Linked DNA regions of Mus musculus: regions 1, 2 and 4 are each reported to be linked to region 3. The links are microRNA targets in miRTarBase. Many come from high-throughput screens and were not tested one by one. Region 3 holds a microRNA gene; each other region holds the end of a gene's coding sequence.

Region 1 (7,123 bases), not on the chromosome of region 3:
TGCTCAATCTGCGCATGCTCCCAGCCGAGGTGAGTGTCCCAGTCAGTGCTAACCCTCACCTCCAGGCTCTGGCCCTCCTCCCAGCTCTCCTCTGTCCAGCCTTCTTGGCAGATGTGCTGCTAACCCGCCACTGCCCTTGCCCCTGACTGTCTTCCAGGACACCTTGCCCGCAACTGACTCTGCGCTCATCTTACACCGCAAGGGGTTTGACTGTGGCCTTGAAGCCAAGAACCTGGGCTTCAACTGTACCACAAGCCAAGGCAAGGTGAGTGGGGTCCCGGTGTGGGAGGCACGGGCCCTGGTCAGGACAGCAGAGCTCTAGGCTGAGAGCCTAGAGGAAGGCTGGCAGTCAGTAGGAAGAAAGGAGGAGTAGCCTCGGGGCTCTCTGGAGACTAAGGGGAGGCCTTTGGCCTGTGCTTTTGGTAATGGAGTCGGCAGGAGCCATTTCAGACCAGCATGGGGCTAGAAACCTCGGGTTTCCTGAGGACAGACCTTTTCAGAGTGAAGTGGGAAACCTGAGAATGAAAAACCACTGCACCTTTTCAGAGCATCGCTCATGGTGTAAACTGGCACGTTGCTTGCCCTGGTGACTCAGCCGTGAACCCAAACAGCCCCTGTTCTCAGCTCACACAGCGTGGTGTGAGAGTTCCTACGAGGAGCCTGGGCAAGCTTTGGACTTGAGTGGATTGCAGCAGTGCCCTCTCTGAGGCTCGCTGCTCCTGGGAGGGCTGTGGCTTCCAGCAGCCCGTTTCCCTCTTACTTTATTTATTTATTTATTTCTCTATCTTATTTTTATTCTTTATTTTTGAGACAAGGTCACACATAACCTAGGCTCGATACAACCTTACTGTGTAGTCGAAGCTGAGTTGAACCCCTGAACTGCCTGCCTCTACCTCCCAAGAGCTAGAGTCCTGTTACACCATTTTAGCTCTAAGAATCTGACAGAAATCCAGGTGTGTTGGCTCACAACACAGTCCCAGCACTGTGGCAGGACTGCTCTGAGTCTGAGGCTAGCCTGGATTACAGTGTGAGACCCTGTCTCAAAAAATCCCAAAAGGGCTGGGCAAGGTGGCGCACACCTTTAATCCCAGCACTTGGGAGGCAGAGGCAGGTGCATTTCTGAGTTCGAGGCCAGCCTGGTCTACAAAGTGAGTTCCAGGACAGCCAGGGCTATACAGAGAAACCCTGTCTCAAAAAAAAAAAAAAAAAAAAAAAAAAAAAGAAAAAGAAAAGAAAAGAAAAAAAAAGGAAAAAACCCAAAAGGGCAGCACTCCGTGTAAGGAAGAACTTACCCACTGTTAGCAGCGCCCGGCTCACCCTGCCCCCTTTCTCTTCACAGCTAGCCCTGGGGAGCCTCTTCCATGGCCTGGATGTGACCTTCCTGCAGCCAACCTCCTTGACTTTGCTATACCCTCTGGCCTCACCTTCCAACAGCACTGACATCTCTCTGGAGCCCATGGAGATCAGCACCTTCCGCCTGCGCTTGGGCTAGGCCAGGGCTTCTTGTGGCCTGAAGACAGGGTTCATCCACAGAGACTGCCTCCTAACACCAAGACTAAGCTGGACAAGCCACACCAAGTCTCCCCTCCGCTCTGCCTCAGAAGTGACAGACTGTGCTGTGCCCTTCCGTTGTCTATTGCTGCTCCTGCGTTTGGAACAGTCCTTACATCAGCAGGCGGCGGGGGCAGAGAGACAGGGGAGAGGAGGCCCTTGCCCTAGGCTGTGAGTAGGTACCCAGCTGGGCACAACTCAGGCTTCATCCTTTTCCCAAAATGGGATGTAGGAAGAGTGGGGACAAGCAGAAGAGGTCAGGGAGGCTGGGGGACAACCTCACGCTAGGAGACTGCAGGTATGAGCTTGCTCTGCGGGGTCATATGGACCCCACAGTGCTGGTATGAGGGTACAGGAGCAGGGTGATTCTGGGAGGAGAGGGGTAGGCGCCCATTATTAGTGGAGTAAAGGCGTGGAAGGAGTCCCTGGTTCTCCTAAGAGCCTAAAGGCTTTGCTGCTTTCTGCTCTGGCTCTGTTCTGAGTGCCACTGGGCCTGCTCTGAGTGCCACTGGGCCTGCATGCCCTGGCTAGGGGCTGCTGGGTGCAGGAAGGGCTTGCTTCAGACTCCAGGCCAGAGGCCACGGAACACTTCAGGCACTAGCACTAGTTCTCAGCTGATCATTTGGTGTTGATCTGTGACAGGGGTAGGGAGTGTCTCCCCCTGATCTGCTTTCTTATCTCACACACCAGGCTCCCCACGAGTTCCCATTGTGGGGATCCTGGCAGGATTCCTTTCTCTAAAATGGAAACAGAGTTTCCAAGAGGGCTGTGCTTGGGTGTCTTGGGAAGGCATCCTGTGCTGGGGCCCCTGGTGGGCTGAGGAGGTTCACTCGTATCCCACCTGCAGAAGTATTACCTGCCCGCTGTGTGGACGAGGAAGGCAGAGACAAAATTAGGAGGTCATGTGCTTGGATGAACCTTCGTTTTTGCTTCAATCAATAGAGAATCTGTCTATAAATGATAAGAGTTGGTAAAAGCAAAGTTCCATCCTTACGAAAACTTAGTAAGCCAAGACTAGAAAGAAGCCCGTAATCTGGATAAAGATCTCGTCACCAGTAAGCGAAGGCGCCCAAAGCATCGGACAGAGCAGGCTCTGATCCCCTCAGTCAGAAACTGCCCGGCGGCACAGTGTGTTGGTGTCACTAACCCACACTTCAGATGGAAACAAGAATTACAATTGCCACTGTTTTAAAACCATAAGCTACCTAAGAAACCTGTGTGTCAACTAGCAAGGCATTCTGTGAGTTGCCCTGTAACGACTGGTTCTCCCCAAATCAACCCATAAACATCAGTGTAATTCCCACGAGGTTGGACACTTTCTGGAACTCTTCAGGTCCTGGCATTCATCTGGAAGGTGACAGGCTGAGGATGTGAAGTAGTTCTGAATGGCCGAGGTGATGAACGGCTGCTGACACTAAGGCGGGCAACAGGCAGTAGCTGTCTTAACAGAGTTCTCAAACGACTTGGACTCTTCTGCCAGCGTGAATTCAGCTGCCATGATAGGTCAGGTCAGACAGACCTAGGCACGTAGAAATTCAGTATATGATTTCAGGTGCAGGGGAGGGGAGGTGGATATTTTCATAGTGCTTTGAGACAGCTACCTACCTATGAGACTTCTGTTTCAAAAACAAAACAAAACAACCTAGGGCTAGAGGGAAAAAAGCAAAAGCAAACAACAAAATTGTTATTATTATTATTATTATTAATTATTATTTTAGTCTCACTATGTACCTCTGGCTGTGCTGGAACTCATTATGTAAACCAAGCTGGCCTGGAAATCACAGAGATTCCCCACCTGCCTCTGCCTCCTGAGTTCTGGGACTAAAGGCATGCGCCATCATCACACCTGGGAGGAAAAAAATTTTTTTGTTTTTTTGAGACAGGGTTTCTCTGTGTAGCTCTGGCTGTCCTGGAACTCACTCTGTAGACCAGGCTGGCCTTGAACTCAGAAATCCACCTGCCTCTGCCTTCCTAGTGCTGGGATTAAAGGCGTGCACCACCACTGCCCAGCAGAAAAAAATATTTTTATACCTGATTTAGGAAACCCTTTTCTAGACATAACATGAAACCTAATATATAATGGGGGAACATTAAAAAATAGGTTTTGACACACACACACACACACACACACACACACACACACACACACACACACACACACACACAAAGCTTGAAAGCATGCTATAGGAAACAGGTTAAATCAATACAGCTGTGTGGGTGGAAACGAGTCTGCAGTGAGTTCTGTCACTGCTGGAGAAAAGTGTGTTTTGACTTCTCAGAGAACGTCACTAGGGTCTGTCCAGCAGCACCCAAAGACTCAGTAGTGACAAGGCTGAGTTCTTGCAGGGTCTCCATGGTTTATGTTGCCAGGCTCAGGCCACACGGCTTCCTATTCATGTCTTGGTGACAGGAATGAGATGAAGAGTGGGGAGCGCTTAGCACAGAGCAGGGGTTGCGCCTACAGCAAGACTTATTTGCTACCATATGGTTTGTAATCAAATGATAGGGAACTGTGCAGAATAAAGAATATTCTTTGGAGGTCAGAGATGTGCAGTGAAGTTACTTGTCTGACAGGACAAATTTTAATCACAAACACACACTTGGGAGTGTCTTGCAATGTATCCCTGACTAACCCAGACTTGCCATAGAGAGCCAGGCTGGCCTTAAACTTGTAATCTTCCTGCCTCTGCTGCCCACAGGCTAGGCTCACAGGCATGCACACCATGCCCTCCCTGCTGCTGTTTACATACATAAATAGTACTTAGAGCAGTGTCCTTTCAAAAGTTCGTCAGCAGAGTTGCCTCTGGAAAGATAGGCAGGCCTGTTTCTTCAGTCTGGGTGCTAAGGTGATGTGTGGCAGAGGGCCACATGTAACTGGATCAAGGAAAAAAGCCAACTCTTGGTAAAGCCTCTGAACTAATCCTTGGGAGAATAAGGGCCAAAGCCAAAGCATTTCCTTCTCCCCTCCCCTCCCCTCCCCTCCCTTTCCCCCAGGCAGGTAGCACAAGCTAGCCTCCAATTTTTACTGCATTTCCTGCCTTAGCCCCTCAAGTGCTGGGATTACAAGTGCATGCCTCCGTGCCTGGCTCATACGGTTCTTGGTAATGGCACAGTGAGTGCGTACTGTTTTAAGGTAAGCAGCAGCTGTTGTCCACAGAGCTCAGGGATGGATGCCTCCCCAGTAAGGCTAACAGTCTACAGTGGAACCAAGATACAACAAAACAACCTCATTCACCAGAAAGAGAAGGACTCCCTCACTGAGACGCATCCAGTTCCATAAGGAGGAGAGGATTGAGTGGCCAGCTGGAGGCACAGAGAGAAAGGCGGGCAAATGTGAGGAACTTCACCATCTTGCAGGGCGTCAGGCCCAGACAGGGTCCGGATCTACCTTCCCCAGGGCATGAAGAGGAGTAGGAATTCCTGGGCAGACAGCATTTCTAACCCGAGCTGGAAGAGTTTAGCTTGCTGTCATGGTGGTTAGGGAGCCAGACACTTCCAGTCCAGCTACTCTGGAGACAGGGGAGGAGTCTGTTGAGCCCAGGAGTTTAGAGCCAGCTCAAGCAACACTGAGACTCCATCTCAAACAAGCAAAAAGCCACTAGCTGTCACAAACACAAAGAGGAAAACATAAACTATGTAGTGGAGGGGTGAGGCTTACAGTTCAACTAGAGGTCTCTGAATTTGTTCTTAACAAAAATGTACGGAAAGTTCAAGTCTCACACTGTGAGAGATGACAGAGACGGGATCTTCCGACATTAGGATGGAACTAGTTTTGTTTAGGTCCAATGGGAAGAAAGTTCAAACAGTTGCCGGGAGCAGCTGGGTCTTTGTACTGCCCTGATTAATTAGGATAGTCTGCTCACAGGCTCCTTATATTTTTGGTTGTGAGCCTAGCCTCTAACGGCTGAGTCATCTCTCCAGCCCCAAGAAGGGCTTCTTAACTGTGATACAGTTGAAGATGAGAGATGGTAGCCAGTGAGACAGTCCCTTAGAGAATGAAACCCGGGAGTGTCTATGTGAACATTGAATGCTTTAGTTTGAGTATGTGTGTCCCTCTGTAGTGCAATGAAATCAGGGGAACCTGTGGGAGGTGACTGGGCCTTGCAGGCTTCTCTCTAGTGGGGGAGGGGGAAACCATTATAAAACAAGGAAAGAGGAAACCATTTACTTCACCCTAGGGAAGGAAGGCTCTCTGCCTAACTCAGGGAAGTTTGCTTCAGGCAGAGGTGGTTCTGTCCACCTGAGTCTGACCCAACCAGACACGGGGCAAAGTTCTTACGCATCTTCTTCATGCAGACTTGCTCTGTAGATCAGCATGAGAAGAAACACCCTGACTCCAGTTCTCAGAAATATGTTGCAAAAGATGGAGGACCATGTCCATAAAGGAAAAGTTGACGTCTGAAGGTATGGTCCAAAGCAATGAGGCTCACTGTGCCCTGGAGATGAATTATGTCCCTCCCAAAAGGGCTATGGAGGAAAGCCGAAAACCCTAAAACTCCTAAAGACCCCATCTGTCTCCTGCCTGTTTGCTCTGAATATCACTCAAAGGCCAAAACTGACCCAGGCATGTCTATTAGAGACACTGCAGGGTGGGGGCAGGGTGAGGATGTCGAAACAGCCAAAGATAACCACGTGAGCAGAAAGCAGCTAGACTCAAAAAGCGTGAAAAGATTGCTGTACACCATGCCAAGGGCAAAAATGAAGCAGGAAGGACCAGCCTTGAGAGACCAACAGGCATAAAAAATAATGAGCCAGAAGAGGGTGGAGGATGGCTGCCCTGTCGTGTGGTGTGTGTGTGTGTGTATAGTGTGTGCATGTGTTCAGGTGTTTTTCTAGGAATGGGAAATTCAAGTGCAGCTTAACATTAGCTTCAGTGTAAAAACTAGATTTTTGTATAGCCAATGAGATTTAAGAAGCCTTCTGGAGAGCCTTGGTATGGTTGTGCTTTATTGCAGAGGCAGGAGTATTGTAGAATGGCTGTGGGGGCCCTATGCCCCTCCAGCAAACAAAAACAGACCAAAAAAAGGGGCTCTGAAGGTGAGGTGAGACGGCAGAGTGGGTAAAGGCACCAGCCCGCCAAGCCTGACAAACTTGAGTTGGATATCTCAGACCTACATGATAGAGGGCGAAATCCAACTCCCCGAAAATTCTCTGCCACACCCACACTGTAGGACTTCCGCTCTTCCGGATACCCGGAAGCTCTTGTGACTTAGCCAGCAATTTTTAAGGGTCCAGGGATCGGCTATGAATCATTGAGCAATCACTGCAGTTGGTGTTGGAGCACTAAGGTCTTCCAGGCTTCCTCATGTTACTGGGATTTCTGTCTTTGCCAGTCAGTTGCCAGAAAGTGGTGGCATTCCTTCCCAGTATATCTGCCATCCCACAACTGCATCATCTGACCTTCGTAAGGACATAGTCCAGCCCACTTGATAAGGACGCCAGGCTCCAAGGGTTGATGCTTTTAACCCAAAGGACATGGGAAATGACTATTTAGCATGTGGGTCCTCTTCGGGAGACCAGAGAAGGAAGAACAGCAATTTAAGCCTTTACCTAAGTGCTTTATTTTCCACGA
Region 2 (7,123 bases), not on the chromosome of region 3:
GGTGTTTTTCCATCTTAACTTTTAGAGAGAAATCCAAAGGATTTTATTATGTCTATTATTATTAAAGCACTTCACTCGCATCTGATATGTTCCTTAAAATGTTACCATTTTATGTCCTAGATTAACCAACGTTCCATGTAGGGGAATGTAGCAAACACCATGCAAAATAAGCCCCTTTTAAATGATTGCTTTAGAATGCCAACATTTCTTGGTTCATCCATCAGCTGCCTGACATGCTTTCAGGAGGGATTTTCAGCTGCTCTGTTTCCAAAAGTGTGCAGGTAAGTGGGATGGGCAAGCAGGACCAGAGATCCTTTCAGATACTTAGCATGGCTAATACTGCTAAACGTATGAATGTTTTTGTGGTTCCTGCAGAGAGCTGGATATTGAATTTAGGACATTTTTTTTCCTCATTAGAATCATCCTTGATTCTAATCACTTCCCCCTTTCTCTCTCAGTTTCCTCCACTGAGATGTCCAATTGTGCTGCATCTGCTCCTCAGTTCAAACCAGATTTGTATTCACCCCATAGAATACCAGGATCCCCCTCCAAGGTCCATGTCATCCTATAGATATTATTCTGTCTTGTCTACTGATGTGACTTCACTGGACATACCTGTGTTCTGTTTGATAACATATCTCTTCTCTCTCTCTCTCCCTCCCTCCCTCCCCCCCCTCTCTCTCTCTCTCTTTCTCTCTCTGTTTCTGTTTGGAGGTCAACCCCGGGAACTCTCTAATTTTGGCCTTTATTACAGTTTAGCTGCATTTCATTTATTTTATGTGTGGCTTGGTAGGCCCAGGTGTGACACACTACAAATGTGGAGGGATGAGAATAACTTGTGGAAGTTGGATATTTCCTCCCACATGGTGTGTTCTAGAGTTGAATTCGGGTCACCAGGCTTGTCAACACACACTTTTCTATGCTGAGCTAGCTCACTCTCCCTAGTCACCTTTACACTTGGAATCAAGGCAATGAATCTATCTGGTGTTAATTCATTTGTGTTTCTAGGACTGGCTATCCCCTGAATTCCAAGTTTTCTCCTGTCTCTATCTCCTAGCCTTGAGTTTACATATATGGGTCACCATACTCTATTTTTATGTGGGAGGCAAGAATCCAAATTATGACCCTCATGCTGACACAGCAGGCACTTTGCCGAATAAGCTATTCACACAGCCCGCTATTTATACCTTATGATTATATGTCTGAATGCTGTCATCAAGATACATTAAAAAAAAAAAACCCAGCAAGCCTTTACTCAGTTTGAGCATTAGTCCTGAAGTATGCTCCTCCTGGGTATGGAGTGTTTCTACTCTGAGAACGTTATTCATATTGTGTTACCTCCTTGTTAGTCCCATTGGTGGCGCTTCAGTCTCACCTTCAACACTGACTCACGCCATTTCTCCACAACCCTGTACACTTTCTTCTTACATCGTGATTCTCTACTTTTTTTTCCCCATAGACTGTAGTAGAGATAAGCTCTCAATTTTTAAAAAAAAATTTCTTAAATTATGTTTAAAAATATTTGGAAATTTTATTTTTGCTAAACTGATATTTGTCTATGAGATAAGGGGGGTCAATATTTTATCCAAATTAACATAAAAATAGCTCAGAACCATTTTACATAAATGGCCATTATGCAGTTAAATGACGTAGCATCTGACATAGTATTTACTCTCTCTGTGTGTATCAGCTGTCCGGGTTTGACTTCTCTTTTTGTCAGCTTTTGTGTCCATTCCACGTTCTCTCTCTAGACTTGAAGGAAGCCTGTAAATTATTAACATTTGTTTGCTTGAATCAAATAGTCATCTTTAACCCTGCTGTCTCCCCAGTCAAGAACATGCCAATTTCTCATTTCTTATAATCTCCCAATTAGACTTTTATACTTTCTATCACTATGCAGCAATATCAAAGTCCAGGACACCATTTGCTTTTATCAGGAACACTATAACTGACTTAGAAGAATTCTCTGCACAACCTAGTTGCTAAGCCACACACTGCAACTAGATTGGGAGTTTTATGAAACTTGAATCTGAGTGTGCTAGCTGCTTAAAAAGTGTCCATTTACTATCTGGCTCCACCAGGGGAATTTTGTCTGTTTTGCTTGTATGTATCAATCTGTGTTCAGTGTGTTAACTGGGAAATTACAAGAAACAAGAATCAAAATGTCACTTTTACAGTTCATAAATACTGTATTTTCTATTGCCGTGTAAGAATTTCTCCAAATATAAGACATTGCACAATTGAATAGTTGGTCATTGACATATCCAGAAATCATATATATCACACAAAATAAGCGCTTTACCTCATGCAAGTAATTATTGTTCAGGATGAACACTGTTGATCTTTCTGGGTTGTTATTTTTTTTAAAAAAAAAGCAACATATAAAAAGGCTCAGGAACAAATGGTCCATGATCGTGCTGTTCGGCACGCATTTCTGAGTGGCTTTTAGGCTGGTAGGTCTAGTAGAGAACAGTAGGGTCAAGGCCTCTGGGAGCCCTGACCTACAGTTGATGTAAATAAGATGTTTTGGGGTATCTGCTAGAATTCATTTCCTCAAACTTTGATCTTAAATCATTGGCTACGACACACTGTTTGAAGGTAGGGGACTTGGACGGTAGTTAGAATGAAACAACTGCATGATGACAGTTGTGGTTCAATGAGAGACAAGAGGTAACACTTGCCAATTCACTGATGCTGCAGCAGGAGGTGGAAACTCAGATAGCACAAAGTCATTGGTGACCTCATCAGAGCAGGAGAACCTGGAATGGTTTGAAGAGTATCATCTACTTTGACGTTTGGGGAAAGACATTTCAAATGGAAGGGATAATATGAACTGAACCCAGCTCAGTGAGATTCCCATCATGCCCATGACATATGGAATATTATGCAGCACGGCTACCAGGATACAAGCAATACTACGTCCTTCCCTGATTGACTAGATTACATAGGGAAAAGCACAAAAACTAAAACCAAAGACATCCAAGAGGACACTGGCCCCAGTTCAGGAGACAAGTCTTTAAGACAAGCCTTTGGCAGTGTTATAAACATGAGTGTGGGACTAAGAAGGGAACTGTGAACACTTCACAAGGCATTTTTAACATTCCCAATTATCTTCAAATTGAACAGTATGAATATGTAATCTACTAATTTCAACGAAATCATTAAGTGGATATTACATGCTCTGAATAATGGATCTGCATTGTGCTTCTTGTAGCCAAACTTGTCTTGGATGTGAGACAACGTTCAAAGTATCCACATTGCATATACTACCTACCTGTTAGTCATAACTGCCAATGTAAACCAATATAGGAAAGACAGTTATGTACTGATAAAATAATTGACCAAGACATAAATATATAATTTATTGAAATACACTCCAATAAAACAGTGAGTGAGTTTCTATACAGAGTAAATCATGCCAGTCACAAAAGCAGGTGGAAGTTATTCTATTGCAGGCAAAGGAGAAATTACTTGGTCCTTTCATTGTGGGACTTCTGGGTTGGCCCATATCTGAAGGAACAGGTGAATTTCTTGGTACCTTGCTAAAGAGAAAGTTTTAACATATAACACAAGTCATGTTTTAAAGACTGGCCTTTTGTGTAAAGTGTGTAAATTATTAGGGGTTACGCTCCAGATGTTTGTGTAAGGAATCTTGGGTCACTAGGGAACCAGGCCCCAAACACTCGTTTGTAGAGGCTGGACTGTAGAGGTGTGACAATTTTGCCTTCATTTGGCTCTTTTTTCCTTTAGAGTGGCCACCAGCTATCACATTTATGGCTGTGGTGTTTTAGTAACATGCATTTTACTCAATACTTTTTTCAAAGCATACAAATTGTCATGCTGGCATATCTGGACATGCCAAAGGACTGCTTTCTATAACTGTAAATTGTGATAATTCTCAGAAAGAGAAAAGTCTTGCAGAAGTTGCTAAAATTGTGGGTTAGAACAAATCTTCCTTTCATATATCAAACAGTGGAAGAAGGAAAAAGAAATTCATGCTAGTTCTGGCCCCATGCATACAAGGAGAGAAGTTCTGCCCACAGCACCATGACAGGTGCTTCTTTAAGGTGGAATAAGGTATTAGATTATACTATTTGTCACTCTCTGAGATCCTGGGCTAAGACAAGGCATGTAAGGATGAGACCTGTGCAACTATAATGACAGTACAAATCTTAGCATTTCACTTCCAACAAATACTCATTTTCTTATATGCAATGTTGATTTCATCAACTACCAATTGTCTTCAGTTAAAGAGTGTTGAAAAAGTTGGCCCTGTCTTGCTCTCAAATACCAGCTGGCATTTGTGTCCTGAATGTAATGCTGTGAGTTCTATTGGGGCTATGGAGGAAAGAAGTCTCACTAATGATACCTTCCTGTTGGGAAAATTATTTCATTTAGAAATTCTAAAGGAAAAGAACAGCCATGAAGGATGGGTCCCACATTTAAATAAATAAGGGGTTATTTGGCTCCCAAAAGTTTCCATTCCAATGGCTGATCATATCTCACATGACGGCTTATAGATGTCTGCCTTGGGTCATTACTAAATGACAGACTATGATAAACTGGATGACAGGAACAAGACAATGAGGTATTGTTTACACAGAAGATTGAGTAACTGGTTAGACAAAGAGGTTCTCGGGTATCTATTGTATGTACAACTAACAGATTTACTGGGGCTTTTAGAATCTCGTCAAGGCTCCTTTCCAGCCAGCTTCATTAACTTGAAGTAAATCAAATCGTGCAGAAATCGGGCTATGCCACAGAGAAATCAGGAAGAAGAATATGAAGTAAAACAGACATGAGATGACAAAGTTCAGAATCTTTGGCATTTTTTTTCATAAAACATTTTGTTTGATTATTAAATTACAATGCAGAAACAGAACAGGAGCTAAACACAGTAAACTAGGTTTCCTACCTCAGCTTTTCTTTACAATACATACACAAACCTGCACACAGCAAGTATGCTGATGAAATATAGATTTTTAAAGCTTAAATATCATTTTAATACAAAGATATTTGTACACTTTTTTACGTGCACATAATTCATTGTTTTAAACTTGGCAGGGTGTGCTGTGGAGTTGTAGGGTACTCAGGATTCAAACACTATCTACAGAGGACTTTTTTGTAGTTGTTTGGTATCAACAGGAATTTTGAAATAAGCTTCTATTGTCTTATATCTTATTTTGTCCCTTAGAAAAATAAAAGGCAAATTAGGATAGCAAAAACATTTTAAATATCTGATCAGAACATCGGGCAACTGAAATGAGTATATTCCATTCAGAGTCTCAGTTAAGTAAGCCCCCCCCCACATATCTTGATATCCCTAAATGCTTTCAGAACCCACTAATTCATCTGCCCCAATCTCCACCATCGCTCTGAGGATGCATATCAACATCTCATTGTAGTAATAAGCAAAAAGTGAAGTTGGAAGAAATGGCATATTCCAGAAACATAATACTATCACAAAAACCCTTATTCTTCCAATGGGTGATTCTAATGAGTGACTCCTTGGAACCGTCAAGGATGGCCCTTGCCAACAACAACTGAGATTTGATTTGAACTGGCATCTAATACTAAAGGGTCACCAAAAAACAAAATAAATAAACAGGCATGTCTTTAGTAATCAGAGCTGAAAGACTCCTAAATATTTGAGTTAATTCTGAAAAATCACTAAACATTTTCTAATATACATTATCAGGGCAGATAGAGGGAAAAAGGAACATTAAACACATAGGGGGATGGAGACTGGAAATAACTGAACCTCTGTTGATTGTTGGTTTTAGGACAGTTTGTACTATATGTTTAGAGGCCAACATAGCACAGTTTCTGAGCTGGCCTTGAGCTTGAACTGTCCTGCCTTGGCCTCTTCCCTGTTAGGATTATATGTGTGAACCACCAGCCTCAACTGGAAAGAACTGATTCTTAGTGGAAAATCTGTCGAAGGTATTGAAATAAGTTCCGCATCATCCTGGAATCAAGTGGTCTTCTGGCTGTCCTCGAGGATGGTGTTCAGACATGTGGACACCTTGTTTTATGTCCTAAAAATGGATATGAAGCTCCCACAGTCTCAGACTTGATGTCTTTTGATGGTTTGGTTGTCCAGGAATCCAGGATACCCGTGCACAGGGACCTGTGTGCAGGTGTGCTTGCATCTGGGTATGTAAAGAAAGCAGAGAGGGAGTAGAAGGTTGCACACAACATCCATATCTCAGGACACCTTGGTACCACTAGAGCAGCCAGGATCTAGGTCTGATTGGCTGCACACTGGATGCTGGAGGCCTCAGTCTGTGTGAACTCTAGACAGTACTCCTCTTCTTCCGAAGTGGGCTGTGGCTGCCACAGAGCTTCAGCTCTGCATACTGCACCTGTGAAAACAAACAGACATGATGCTGGCAGTTGGGTAACCCTAGCTTACCACAGAGTGTGTTAATGGCTCCCCAAGGATACAGCAAAGCAAAGGAAGGAAGGTTCAAAGGTAATGAATCATTTTCTAAACATGGGGCCTGGGGGGGGAGGGATTAATTGCAGGAAGGGTTTCAGAAGTCATGCATCATTTCTTGAAACCAAAAATATTAAAAGCAGATTTTTCTAATGAGATGAATGGGCTTCTATAGGCTTCTCCAGAGCTTGCCACTGCTGCCTGATCTTAGTCTTGCTTATACCAGCTTTCAGCTGTAAATAACCCAGTAACTGCCTATTGGACTTGTTGATCTTATGTTATGACAGAACAAACAAACAAGTATTGCTCATTTCAAAGGACCTACAATGATAAGGGGGAAACTCAGTTATCTTACAGACATTTATTCTAAGAGGGGGCCAAATATTGAAATTGATTCTAGGCCCCAAACTTATATAGATGTCACTTAAAATTAATTTAACTTATAGTGTAATAACGAGAACATCTGTGATAAACAGGAGTACTTGTGATGTCCTCAGAGGCAAACTGTCAGTGTCATTAGAAAGCACCCTTGACGGGATAGGGAGACTAGTGCTAAAGCATGGATGAAACTCATTCAAATGTTTTGTCATATGTATCTCTCTGCGATTATGCCAAATATACCTGGATGATACATTCCAAGGCTGGTACCAGAACCATAGAGCTATGGGACTGACAACAATTTCT
Region 3 (7,123 bases):
GGAAGATGGTATATAATTTTTAAAAAATGTATTAGACATTGTGGCAAGATAAATTCATTGTGTGCGCATGAATTTATCTATTATTTATTTTTTGTTTGTATAAGAAATGAGTAAGAAGATAACAAGGAAAACAATTCAAGTTGGAAATAGAAAATCTATAACTCTTTAGGGTGAAAAAGCCTAAGTTTTTCCACCTCCAATCTGAAGTGTGCCAGTTCCTTTGCTGGGAGGACCCTATGGTCACTTTATCATAGCAGGACACCAATTTGCCCCACAGAGCTCTAGAGAAACATAAGCAGACTCGGGACAGAGGGCTAAATGCTTTGGAAGGGGGCTTTGGTAGAAGGTGCTCCAGGGAAACTCCACACAGTGTGGAGGGCAAATCAGGAAATGTTCCCCGAAGGGGGATACTTCATAGGAAGGATGTGGACTTGGGGTACACACATCTAGAGAGCTGAGGGGAAAGGTGCATCATTAAATGCAGGAAGAGTTGAGAGAGGAGACAAGAACAGGAATGTGGAGGGCTTATTGCCATAGTTAGGAAACTGAAAAGAAAAGACTCACTAGAGAAGACAGAGATTGGAGGTGGGGCAGGAGAGATGGAGGGAGGGGGATTAACAAAATTAAACAATATCAGGAAGTCTCATTAAGGATTATGAATTTTATTCTGAGAGAAAGAGTGAGAAAAGGATAAGATAATTGCAGTATATCACATAATCCGCATCAAAGAAATGTCACTGCAGCATGACAAGAGGGGACAAAGTGGTCATCACACCAAACAATGGCGGTGGTCAGAATTCTGGTAACAATGAGTGGAGAAAGAGCAAGGGAAATACTACGATCATACTCTTAAATAACCATTAGGGGCAACTAACACTATAATATACAACACAACAGAGTGCCCTCGAAACACCCACGGCAAGACAGGTAGTCACAGAAGTGAGCAAGTCTGTCAGGAAGTGGTCACATCCAAGCTAATTCCCGGGAGTGTGGTAAGACCTCCAGATGAGGGAAAGGAATTCTGAGCTCTAGAAAGGCTTCCAAACACCAGCTGGATCCCTGTGCCAATATTTAAAGAATAATCTGCATGTTTAAAATGTATGTCTATTCTTAGGGCAGAAACTGAAAAACAACCACCTCTAACTTTAACACTGCAATCCCATGGCAATCTATTCCATCAATCCTCGTCAACACTGAGTTATGAAGTCTGCGGTCTTACTTCTCACCAGCGTTCATCTCCCTACAAAAGCTGCTGCTGCTGCTGACAGGACAGCTACAGAGAGATGATAATGCTCCAACTGAGACACACTATGCAAAATTTAAAATGATCAAATGCAGCAAGATAAAGGAATATAATTCTAGTGTTTTAAAATAAAAATGAAGCCAACAATAAAGTGTGTTTTAGGACAAAGGATTTTAGAAGATAATATTAACTACACAATGCACTGCAGCAAGTGGTCGTTGCAGATGGACCTCCCTACAGTCTTCATAGACCACCAGCTCCGTGGCTGGTGAGCAAGCGAAAAGACCAATGAAATGGCAGAATTAAAGATGGGTCTGGCAGGGGCAACACTGATACCAGGGTTTGACATTGTCAGTTCTAGATATAAACTAAAATCGTCTAGTTAATGACTTTACATTGCCAAGATTTTATTCTATACATACAGTGTATGGTTTAAGATTTGAATTATGATCAACTACTTAAATGTCAAAAATCAAAAAGAAATGTTAAAACTCCAGGCAAGATATAAATGGGAAAAGCTATAAGGAGAACTTGGATAGGACTTGTTTTAAAGAGCAAAGGGAACCCCACATGATAATCTGCACTGAAGGTGCCCAGCCACTGGTTCTGTTGTCACCTCCCTCTCACTTAGTAACAGATGGTAGCAGTCTGAACCACTTACCTTACAACTATAAGAATGGCTATAAGAATCGAACAGATAGGATCTGCTATCATCAACCCAAAATTTTGCATCATGATGGCAGAGGCAATTACACCAATACTTCCCAGTGTATCGGCTAGAATGTGTAAAAATACACCTAGAAAGAAAGCATAGGAGAGATTAGAATACTCAAGTGGGAATATTTCTCAGGACTATACTTAAAATATCTTACATATCAAGGAAAAAAAATCAGTCAGGAGAAGTACAGTAGTAACTGTGTAGCAGAATATTTATAAACTGACATAACTGTTTTCATACTGACCAGTTTAAACATCTAACTGGTAAATTATGCTCAATCTTAACAGAACAGTGAAAGTGAAGGAGTTAAAAAAAAAGAAAAAGAAAGTGAAGGAGTAGAGAAAATTAGTTTTAAATGCTGTCTGTGAACATTCACTCTTACTTTAAAAAAGGTTAAATAATTTGTTCTGGAAAGAAAAGAGCATCAGGTTTTAAAAAAAAAAGATGAAGAAAGCAATTTAATTTTGAATACATGAACACATAGAGCCCTCTGCTGGTGATTTAAAATACTGCTTAAGGAATAAAATTTTATATGAACCCTAACTCGACTTAACCTGACATTAATTATCCAAAACATGCCACTACCTAAATTTGTTATTATCCTCAAATACACCAAGCAAAAAAGCAGTTACCTGACTAGGACAAGAAAATACATGTTGAACCTTTGAAATTAAGTACTAAGTAGGACATAGTAGACTATTAAGGACTATATAGGACTATTAAGATTCATAAGTGATATTGGCCTGGAAAACCATAAAAATCTCAAGAAAGAAATTATATATGCAACTCTTTTTGAAACTACCTAAGACAGTAACTCACTCAATATGTAGATCTTTAATAAATAAAATTTATCACACAGCAAAGCAATCTATAAACATAGGTACCAATAAAAACAAAAACAAAGAAAAGCCATAAACCACCGGCCTTCAGCACAGCTGCCCTGCAGGGCACTGGTTAAGATGGCAGACATGCGACCAGCTTAGAAATTCACGTCACATTCCCTGAACGATCAAAGGTAAATGTGTGCCAATTAAAACTGAAGGAAACTTTGTAGCAGCTTAAAATTTGAGCACTACTGAGTCACAGTAAATCTTAACGTTTGCTGGGAAAAGACACTTCCCCTGCCACCGTGTGACTTAGAGCAGGGCGCAGCAAAGGGCACTCGGGCCTTTCACTCTGTGCAGACCACTCTGCAGATCTTTACATTTGTGTGTGGATGTGTGTGTAAATGTATGTGCATCCCACAGCACATGTGCAGAGGGCATTGGCTTACTCCTTCTACCACGTGGAGCCTGAAGACTGAACCCAGGCTGTCAGGTTTGGCTGCATGTGTCCTTATACAGGTACCTCACCAGCCCTGAGTTGTTCTGTAACAAATGGTATTCATTTGGGCAGATAAAAATGAAATGTGTATTTCCACTGGTAAATACTTGTAAATAACCAACTTCTCTATTGTACTTTAAATACCAAAGAATAATATATATATATACATATATATGTATCAAAAACACTTTGGTTTCAAAAACTAAAAAAAAATGAAAAAGATGGATATAAATCAATACAATTGAAATCCCTACATTACAAACTCCTAAATGTAATAACATAGTTTTAAGTTTCTATATTCTCCAATTAGTGTTTTGGTACGAACAGAAATAAAAATGAAAAAAAAATGGTGAAAATAATCTGTTATTCATTTTTCTGATGCTGGAAAGTCCCTGCCTCCATGTAATCCTAACCAGAAAGTGGGTCTCATTAGCACACATCATTACTCTTTTATAGTAACTATTCATGAAGAAAAATCTCTGAGGAAATACATAAAGTCTGTTTAAGTCACATAAGATCGAGACCCTCCAACATTGCAACACACCAATGGTCTAACGTATCTAAAACCTGGCTCACTAAGCTGAAGATGCGCCAACAACTGAAAGCCACATTAGCTGGAGGGGCTCATGTGCTGAGTGTCCGAAGAGCTCTTGGGTAGCAGAGCTTTTACATCAGGCAGTCACAGCTGCCCAGCAGCTTCCTCCAGGCCCTCTTGAGACCAACAAACTCATGTAGTTCAGAAATAGGAATAAAAGGGTACATCGAGCTTTTCTTCCTGCCATTTATGATGATTTTTCATAACTAAATACAAATTATTATCAAAGCCAATGATAGCACTTCATACGGCTATGTCAAAAATGTACAAAGACGCTTTTAAAAGCAATGCCATATATTTTGAAAATGGAAACCTGGTGACAGAAGGCAGCCTAAGCCTTCAGTATAGTGATCTCTTCAGTAATGGAGAAACACAAGAAGCAAGAACTCAACCCAGAAGCAGTAGAACAAAACACATGCAGGAGAGGCTAGATCTGGAGCCACTGAGAAAACCAGACCAACGTCGGCTTTAAAAAGCTAGGAGCAGGGAGGTTAGAACTTAAAAGCTTTGACAATACAGTCTAGGGGAAACTGTGAAAGACTGGGTTATAACCCAGAGGAAAGTACCAGAGTTCAGAGACAGAGTTTTCTCTAGCTGCTGTCACTTACGGAACACTAAGCTCCTGTTTAGGTATCAGTAATTGATGCTTTCACAGATGAGAAAGGTCTCACTGGACTTCATTCTTAGCTCTACAATTTAAGAACATATTGAACGTTACTCTTGGAAAAACTGTCATAATCTAAGGAAGCAGACAGGCTACCCTGAACTCACGACTGTAATAATCCAGGGAAGCAGACAGGCTACCCTGAACTCATGACTGTAATAATCCAGGGAAGCGAACACGCTACCTTGGACTCACGATAGTCAGGCCAGTACTTACCTTCAGCCGGGGTTGTCAATTTCTTGTATTTTTAAAATTAAATCTGAGAAAATAGACAAGTGGCAAAATATCGCTAATATACCTAACACAAAGTATAAGTGTGCATGTGTGAGTGAGTGTATGTGCGCGCACGCATTTATTAGGAAGGATAACACTTACAATACTGTTACCATCTACAGATATTTCCTTAAAAGAGAACTCCAGGCAACTTTACCATGAAGCCAGCTTCATGAAATTAAGAAAGCCACAACTGCTTGTCATACCTTGTAAAATCTGTCTGCTGGGTCCTGCCGTTGCTTTGAAGGATGGGCCATCTGTAGAGAATTAGTTAGATTATTTTAAAACATCTCTTCAATTCCTGATCCAAATGTTTGCAACTCAGAGTTCTTTTTGCTCAACTGTATGATGGAACTATGAGCACACAGTCATATTAGACTTACACAATTATTTTTTTAAATTTAATCAAGTAATTAAATATAGGTGAACTTAGTGAGGGCAATATTGAAATGTAACAAGGATATAGAATATTCTAGAAATTATTGTACTAGAAATAAAACTCACAAGAAGTTAAAAATGTGAAAAATCTACCAATATTGTACTAACGAAATACCTCCTAGTACTTTCATAACTGGAAACCTCACAGAGAATGAAATTACTACGTGGACTTTGATGAGGTCTGTGAACGGAAGCCGGGACTGACAGCAGGTTGCTGTGGAACTACAGCTTTTAGAGACTACTTTCTACAGAGAAGACAGCCACTTCACTAAAATCCTGCCTTTTATGATGAAGGGACATCCTTAGTTTTGTGGGACAAGGACAGTAAGAGGTGTAAAGGGGAGTCGGCCTGAGCCTAGGGGACAAACAAGCTGTGTGCTGTAGATGAGAAAGCTGGAGACCTGAGGCTATCGGAGCTCAGATCACACGTCTCAGATAGCAGGCATTAGCTACGAGATTTGGAATTGTAGTGTAGACTTGGGTTTCCTTCTCACGTTGTTTCTGGTCAGTGTTTTTATCACAACAGAGAGCAAACTAGGACAATGTTCAATGGAATTGTGTACAAGTTTCACCCTAAAATACTATTTATAAGGAACCACTAAGAAACACATCACTAAGGAGGCAGAGACCAAACTGTATCCACCTGAAGTTATGTAATGAGTTCCAGGCCAGACAGGAGCACACACTGAGATCCTGTCTCAAAGGGCCAAATCAAGTACATGAATTAATTATTTAATTAATTAAAATATTATGTGCCAGAATCATACTCTTTGCTATTTGTAATAATACTTCAGAAATTATTTTATAAATTTATGAGAGATAAGCAATATTTCAAAATTATTTTAGCATAATGTATGTGTGCAAAAATGTTGAAAAAAACCCAACAAGGTCTTTATACCTGCCAGTGTAACTGTTTCAAAACATAGCATATCAGGTTAAAAGAGGTCGTACAAACTGACTGATAGGGATACTACAGCAAATTAGAAAGCCTCTGCACAGCCAGGGAAGAACAAAAAGAAACAGTAATCTTAGGCGTGTAGAGCATACCTAAATACCGTATGTCTGAGTGTTAATACCTAAAATATATGAAGGACTCAAACAATGCAAAGGAAAATTTTTGTCAGACTGAAAAATGCTCTGTGGTTATACTAAAAGGTATTTAATACTAGTACTAAACAGGGAAATCAAATCAAAATTTCAAGGGAAGTTTTAGGAAGACTCGGAGCTATTTTTATTTATATATATATATATATATATATATATATATATATATATATATATATATATATATATATAGTACTGGCAAGCATGTGGGGAACAGGAAATCCTTATACACTATTGGTAGGAATGCAAACTGGCATAAGCACTACAAGAGCAGCCTACGGTTCCTCAACAAGGACCACAGAGCTATCACATGAGCACCAGCATCAGCTCTGGGTACACAGCCAAAGGAGCTGAGACCCAGATCCCAGCATCCAGGTGCACTTCCACTCACTGCAGCATAACACGCCGTACTCAAGACACGGAAGCAACCTACGAGTGCCTGATGGATGAACGAGGCCGCTCTCTCTTAAAGAAGGGCAGCTTAGGACACCATGGGTAAATTTGGAAGGCGTGTGAAATGATACAACAGAATAAAGACCAGACACCACTCACATGAGGAAGCTAACAGAGTCAAGCACATATAAACAGAGAGGAGGTTGGCACTCTGCAGGTGCTGGAGGTTGGAGAAGTAACTGTCACAGGACATGGTTCAGTTACACTATGCATGAGGCCTAGAGAGCTGTACAACACTGGAGCGATCACAGCTAACACGACTACACTTCAGGGTGTCAGGAGGGTAGGTTGTACGCTGTGCTCTAATCTAAA
Region 4 (7,123 bases), not on the chromosome of region 3:
ATGGTTTGGGGTTGGGTCACATCCCTAAATCGGTGTTATCTGGGTCTCCTCGGGGATCCTTGATAAGACATAGACCCATTATCCCAGTAAGGCATCCTTGGCCTGTCAAAAGTTGCTGGCTGAATATCGTGTTTTGAGGGGACTGAGCTAAAGGGAGAGAGGGAAAGAATCAAGGAATCCATGGCCCTAGAGATGGATGGGAAAGTAGCAAGAATGAATACCTTTTCCTAGAGGTCATCTCCAGGTTTGCCCCTCATCCCTACCACGCCTTCCCATGATGCCTCACTCCAATCAACATCCTGCTCCAGCATCACTTCAAACATGTTCCCAGTGCATGTAGCACCTGTGGCCTCACTCAGGGACCTCCATGACTATGGCATCAGGACCAAGGGGACACTGCTTCAGCCATGCCAATCACTATGTGTTTCTCAGGCATAAGAATATGTGACTTTCCAGAGATTGAGATGGCCTCTTGCAGCCCAGATGAAGCTAGAAATGCTGGAAGTTGGTCAATCTCCCTAGGACACAGAAGCCTGAGAGCTCTTTGCAAATTAGGACTGAATTTCTCTGTACTGTGGGTGATGAACACAATAACATGAATCAATGACATCAGCTGGAGCATGTAATATCTCAAGATGCCCAGGTTCATTCCCCTAACTAGGCTGCCTTGTCTGGCTCCAGTGGAAGAGGATGTGCCTAGCCCTGCAGGGACTTGATATGTCAAGTGGTGGTATACCCAGGGGGTGCTCTACCCTCTCAGAGGAGAAGGGGAAGGTGGAATCATGGGAGGGACTGTGTGATGGGGAGACAGGTGGGAGGCGGTGATAGGGATGTAAAGTGAATAAATAGATGGGGGGAAAAAGATGCCCAGGTTCCAAAAGAGGGGTTATTCTCCATGCCTCCTTTACCTGATAAGTCAGTATTTTCTGGGTTTGGCGCTCATTCCAATGACATGTCACAATCTCTGTAAATTTCCTTTTGTGGAGCAGAAAATCTTGAGTCCTTTCGTGGACTCAATATTTCATTCAAATACATCATCCCCAATAACTGATCTTTTACTTCAGCTTATCTAAGAGAACAGAAAATCCTCAGAAAACTTGGATATATGCAGTGCATATTTGTTGAATTATAGACAGGAAACTGTTTCTGTAGAGTATACGTTTAATGAGAACATACTGTTATATTTGGGCTATGTGGTATTCTTGCTGAATAGAAACCTTTACAAGAACACGCGCACATTTCTATCCAAACACCAAATGAAGTAGATTGCTTAAATGACCAATTTTGCACCAGAAAAAAAAAATATATATATATATATATATATATTATACAAAACAGGGCTTTATCCACAGTCATGAGTCCTCACTTTCTACACAGAACAACAATAAATTAAATCACATTATATGCAGACAGTTCTACTTACATTAGAATAGGAAGCTATATGTAGCTGGTGCAGCTTTGACTCTTCTACCAGATTCATGGTACGTTTTTATTGTTTTGTGGTCATATTTAAATTATCCATGAACAAAATGGCTCAAAAGACACAGGCTGAGGGACTGGCCTTCTGCCATGCTTAGCTCACAGCCCCTTGGTTTCAGCAATGCCCAGGGAAGAAGGCTCCGATTTTGGCCAATTGAGAGCACTTCCTTGCTGTCTTCTATGCTACACCATATTGAACACGTTCAGACACAGGCACTGAGTAATGAATGAGATAGTCCATCAAAAGCCATGGTTTCCTCTTTCTCTGGAGAAATAACTCTTTCTCTCCCCAATAATAAGTAGAGACTATGACAGCTTTATTCTAGAAAGTAAAAATGAACTCGGTATCCTATTATGATTCACACTTGGGGAAATGGACCTCCTGGTCCTGTGCATATAAATTTATGCCTTTAAATATGAATCAAAGAAATGGAACATGTTTTATTAACTCTGAGGTCTACTTGGTTCAAATCTCTCCACTAGGAATCGTATGATACCTGATAGACCAAAGAGTTTTTGTAACATATTTATTTTTACCTCTGAGAGTCAGCTCCCACTGAAATCCTTTTGATTACCTTTGAAGTGACTTAAAACAGAAACACCAGCATCAGCATTTGGGAAATGCTCTGCATTTGGGATGAATTAACATTAGTGGTTAATGCGATATTTGAACAACCTCCAACTCAGTGTCCTTTGGAGGAGTATTTTCATTCCATAGGCCTGCAGGAAACATCGGAAAAATCCATATGCTGAGAAAAAAGCCAGGTTCCTTCGCGTACATGAAAATCACAGATGTAAACTGTCCAAGGACATGCATGGTCAAGTTGCTGTCAGGCTTCTGAGTAGAAGCCAGCTACCTCCTCACAGCGGTGCGATTTTGTCTTTTTTCTCTGAGTAAATGAGGAGGCCTCCTCACAAGTTTCCACCTGCATGGGAAAGGTGCTAGCACACCCATAGAAATGTGATGGATAGCAGGTGGAGCTCTATGAAGAACAGTTGAGCCCGTGTCAGCTGCAAACTTCTTCTCTCTGTCACTTTGAGAGACATAAGCTCCTGGTTCTTCTCTCTGGGCATGTCCAGCACTTCTTGTGGAGACTGGCTTTTGAAGAAGGTCTAAACTGTTCATTATTCTGTTCTAAAGACCAACTGAAAAATAGACAGATCCCTCCAGTGCCTCTGGCTCGTTCTCCCTACTTCTATGCTGCCCCTAAAGCATCCTGTATTTCTAGACAGTTTCTGTTTTTTCCACTAAAGGAAAAATTCAGCTCATTACCAGCCTTCTTCTAAAGACCTGTAGGGTATAACTACACAAATAGGTAGTGGGCCAAAGTTCAATTGGCATTTGCCTTTGTAGTTGCACCTATTAGGGATCTGAGCTCTTTGTGTCTCAACAAACACAGACCCTAGTGTTTTCCAATTTATAAATGCTATTCTTTCATTCTCTTTTTTCGTGTGTGTGTGTGTGTGTGTGTGTGTGTGTGTGTGCGCGCGCGCACTTGTGACGCATCTAAAACACCTGCACGAGTAGCTCTGTTTCAAGAAAGCAATGGCATCACTAGAAACAGCTTCTGAAACCACTCTCTGAGATACACAAGGCCTCCCTTTCCACGTCCCACTGCATGTCTTAGACCCTGACAATCAGTCCCAACTAGAAGAAAAGAGGTAAGTTAGGGACACAGAAGGTAGATGTGCCAGGAGCAAAGGCACAGGATGCCTGTAAGCAAGGGGAAGTGACTTGGCATTCCAAAGCTTTTCATTCAAGAGAAAAAGGAAGTGGGGGTGGGGCATCTGTTCTCATTCCATAGGATTCTCCCTCTCCTCCATGAATTCTGAAATGTAAACAACTATTTCAAGACATGTGGAATTCTGTCTGTGGTTCAGGAAAAGACACGCCAATGGCTCTTCAAAACAATACATGTTGACGGATTCCGTGTGAAACCTCTGTTTGTGTTGGGAACAGATATGACTCTACCCAGAAAGTTTTGTTTCTGAGTTCAGCTTCTCTCCCAGATCTAAGACAATAATATTGGCTATAAAACTTGTGTTTATTTCCATCACCATAAGTATACGCTTAGTTTAGCTTGTGTATGAACTTATATTTGACAAGATATAAAAAACACTAATGAAATGCCCCCCCTTTGAAACCTTGATCATTGGACTTAAGAGTAAAAATTTATAGAATGGCTTAAGAACTAAAGTTCCATTTTGTTAATTATATAATAGATGACTACTGGCAGATTATGAATGACTAATTGTCAAAGTTGTTGCTTAGCAGTTAAGAATTTAAGTTCTACAATACAATACCAAGAGTTTTTAACCCAGAGCCACCATGGAACAGACATCTATACTGTCAGCAAAGGTTTCCCAACTTGGTGGTGTTTTTAAAACTTAATGACATTTTGGCTACTCATATAATGATTTATTTTTTTCTGAGACAAGGTCTAACTGTGTAACTACAGCTGATCTGAAACTCACTATGGAGACCATCCTGGCCCTAAACTCACTGATATCCTCCTGCTTCTGCCTCCCAAGTGCTGGAATTGAAGACATGGGCCACCTTGTCTAGCCATGTAAAGACATTCAAGAAAGACAAACTATACAGCAGGCATGTAAATGAGCAATCAACCTTAATAATATTAATAATAATATAATAATATAATAAGAATTGCTTTAAAATTGTAGGAAATGACTCCAGGGACTTCACGATTCACCCTGCCTATTTATTTTTTAAACATCTAATCTATTCTTTAACATCTAATCTGGGGATCCACTATTAACCTTGGAACAATTCCTCTAGCTGGAGCAGAAATAAAAAATACTGTTGTAACTATGCTGACATTCAAGGGGAAACTATACAAATTCAAGAAAGGATTAGACATATTCATACCCAAAGAATATAGCCAGGTAGAGAACTTTTCCCACTGTCACCCTCCTGCAATTAACACACAGGTTCAAAAAAAAAAAACATTAAAAAATGAGTATCTCTGAAACACAGGGAAAACATCATTGAAAATGTAAGAGAGAAACAAGCAGCCCTCTGGTTCTGAGAACTGGGGTGGATGCAGTCTGCCCATCTGTCTTCATTATGTGAGTCCCTGACCATCAGCTGCAGCCTTCCTGAGTTGTGCTCCACAAACGCGCCTCCTGGATTAGCATTTTAAAGTTTGCCTTTCTGGCCTACTTTTTTTTTTTAAGTCAGCACTTTTCCCTCAATATCCCACAGGCAGAACCACGACATACCTCCTACCACACCCCCTTCAGTTGTTCAGAAGCTAATTCATTTTATCATGCGGTTTGCATCCCGTTTCCTGAGCCCCACACAGGTGCAGCCCATTCACTTTGACTCCACTGAGAGAATGAGGTGTGGTCCACTCCTTCCCTGGGAAGCCAGCTTCCAGAGCTTGCTAAGCTTGCTTGGACTCCTCCACAGTTAACCTGGATGGATAGGACCTCCAAGAAATTATTTAATTTCCCCCCTTTAAGCTGGGTTTCAGATGCTCAGAATGTTACCAAGAAAGGCAAAATTACAAGACGGTACCCTTGTTCTCTCCTCAAATGATAAAGTCGGAACCAGAATTGAAACCTCTGCACCCAGGATTGAGTGCAAAGAGGATACCCAGCAAAGGCTGGCTCAGTCTTAGCCACGATGCCCTTGTCTGTCCTAGCTCACTGTCCAAGCTATGCATCATTTGTGGTGGCTGCAAAACTCTATAAGGTTAAAGGGACACAGCAGATATCAACATTCCCTTTTTAAATTAAAATCATCACCTCAAATTTTGATAAATTGCATGCAGTTTTTTTTTAAACGTATCACCACTGTGTCTTGCTGTCAAATTCTCACTGTCTGCTTATTCTTGAGGGAAAGGGGTTGTGTTTCTTTATAGACTCCACTTAAGTCTACTGGTTTTGAAGGGCATCATTTGACCATAGTTAGAAAGAATGTAGCCCTCCAATAACATCCATTTAAAACAGTTGAAAATGAACAACGGCTTAACATCAACGTATTCCTTCAGAGTTTGTAAGCTGAACAGACTTCTGTACATCTTCAGCCAGACTAGCAGTTAGACTAGAGACAGCCAAGGGACAGAGGACAGCAGAGAAAACGAGAACCGTTCCTCCCTCTCCACAGATTTGTCACACACCTCCTCCGTGCTCTTAAAATATAAGTGAAATTTAATCTTCAAAATGAAAAAATAGACACATTTCTAATACCAAAATATAAGATTAAAATACTTAAAAATAAAATGTTAGTGTGAAGTAGGACTTTTTTTACATCGTATAAGAAGCATTTTAGACTCAATTTTCTTATATAAATCCTCCTTGCTCACTAATATTTACAGTTTTCCAGAGTAGCTCTGATGAGACACTAAAAGAGACAGGGAGGATCCTTTCTTGAGATATGAATTCAGACCTGAATGTGGACGTTGGACGCAGCCTTCATCAACCACAAACCTGTCCCCCAGTTCCAGAGAGAGGGGCACTGCATTCCCAGCCTGGAGATTTCTTTCATTCCATTGTCCTCTTATTGGGTGTTAAATTCTTTCCAAGAATATTCTCCTTGTAAAAATTGTTTTATCCTAGCTACGAAACATTTCATTTCAGAAAAGCCACATTTTTCTATCCTCGTGTGAACTGCCCCCAAAGCAATCAAGATATGGACGCAGCAGACTTTCAAGACATAAATCTCCTCTGATGCCCCTCCAGCAGCCAGAACACTTAACAGCATTGCGTTGTTTCATTATATTAGTTTGCCATGAGATGAGAGGCCAGAAGGCAGATAGTGATTAACAATCATTCCTGAGCTTCTAAAGAAAATGTAAAATGAAATGACTACTGCTTAAAAGAATGACTTCTCCGAGAACGCCCTTTCTGCTCCGTTGATGTCTGTCCTTCCATCTATCTCTTTAAGGAATCTCAAGTAGACGAAGCGAGAGGGGCATCTCTTTTAAGCCACCGAAAAATGTGATCTGATGGAATCTTCTCGCAGCTCTCGATGCTTCCCGATGTTGCTTTCCTCTTGCTGATTTCGCCTCTCAATGGTTATTCTGTATTTCTTCCTGGGTAAAAGCAAAACAAATGTAATAATAAAACCTCACTCGGCTGTAAAACACCATGGTTCCTCTTACAAAGAGTGCCCTCCAGGGACATCTGGGTTAGGTTTGATAAATGACAAGTGACACAAATATGAAACCCTGTTCTGAGATTAAAGTCGTGTACCCCCAAGGCATCGTGTCCTTATTCAGGGAGAAAAATTGGCATGCTTTCTGAAATGCCACAGAACAAGCCTTCCCCTTCTTCCCTGGGAGTCTTATCTATTCTGCCCCAGAAGCTCTGCTTGACTCCCAGGATGTGCCCCCAGATAAAGATCAGACCAAATGTACTGTGACCAAAGGAACAGGAACACGATTGTTCCCACAAAGAGCCACATACACCCAGACTTACATCTCCAATGCAAAAGTGAAGAAATATTACAAATAAACCATGATGATTTACAATGCCCCATGAATTCAACCACTGAAGATTACCAAAGGACGGGCCACTGTCGCTGCAGCAAACGACTAGAACCTTGAACACATGCGCATAATTAAAAGTTTATGAGATTTAAGCCACAACAATGGCAGCTAAACATGTGACTTCTCCAAAC

What was found. Region 3 holds the annotated microRNA mmu-miR-669n (AUUUGUGUGUGGAUGUGUGU, at 3,166-3,185, shown strand). A microRNA usually pairs through its seed, bases 2 to 8, with sites in the 3' UTR of a target mRNA and lowers its output. Matches are read on the target gene's strand: a 7mer-m8 pairs with bases 2 to 8, a 7mer-A1 pairs with bases 2 to 7 and ends in A, and an 8mer does both.
Region 1: the mRNA of Man2a2 is a reported target of mmu-miR-669n. Seed matches in the 3' UTR shown: 7mer-m8 at 3,713-3,719.
Region 2: the mRNA of Mctp2 is a reported target of mmu-miR-669n. Seed matches in the 3' UTR shown: 7mer-m8 at 4,301-4,307, 7mer-m8 at 3,638-3,644 and 8mer at 3,594-3,601.
Region 4: miRTarBase lists Npr3 as a target of mmu-miR-669n. Seed matches in the 3' UTR shown: 7mer-m8 at 3,424-3,430, 7mer-m8 at 2,859-2,865 and 7mer-A1 at 1,496-1,502.

What each region holds. Positions count from the first base shown.
Region 1 is chr7:80,346,068-80,353,190 of GRCm38, reverse strand. It overlaps Man2a2 (mannosidase 2, alpha 2), which reads left to right. Exons shown (of 24, transcript NM_172903.4): 22 at 1-29; 23 at 158-265; 24 at 1,340-4,094. The coding sequence ends at 1,492. It overlaps Hddc3 (HD domain containing 3), which reads right to left. Exons shown (of 4, transcript NM_026812.2): 4 at 7,094-7,123. It also overlaps the pseudogene Gm18310. Among named protein-coding and RNA genes, the nearest start is that of Hddc3, 6.5 kb to the right of the region's middle.
Region 2 is chr7:72,074,493-72,081,615 of GRCm38, forward strand. Mctp2 (multiple C2 domains, transmembrane 2) reads right to left here. Exons shown (of 23, transcript NM_001024703.1): 23 at 3,338-6,365. The coding sequence ends at 6,297. Among named protein-coding and RNA genes, the nearest start is that of Gm36696, 33 kb to the right of the region's middle.
Region 3 is chr3:115,976,740-115,983,862 of GRCm38, forward strand. It overlaps Mir669n (microRNA 669n), which reads left to right and starts at 3,163; the gene lies at 3,163-3,216. Slc30a7 (solute carrier family 30 (zinc transporter), member 7) reads right to left here. Exons shown (of 11, transcript NM_023214.7): 7 at 5,023-5,073; 8 at 1,905-2,040.
Region 4 is chr15:11,838,753-11,845,875 of GRCm38, forward strand. It overlaps Npr3 (natriuretic peptide receptor 3), which reads right to left. Exons shown (of 8, transcript NM_008728.2): 8 at 1,144-6,536. The coding sequence ends at 6,425. Among named protein-coding and RNA genes, the nearest start is that of Npr3, 63 kb to the right of the region's middle.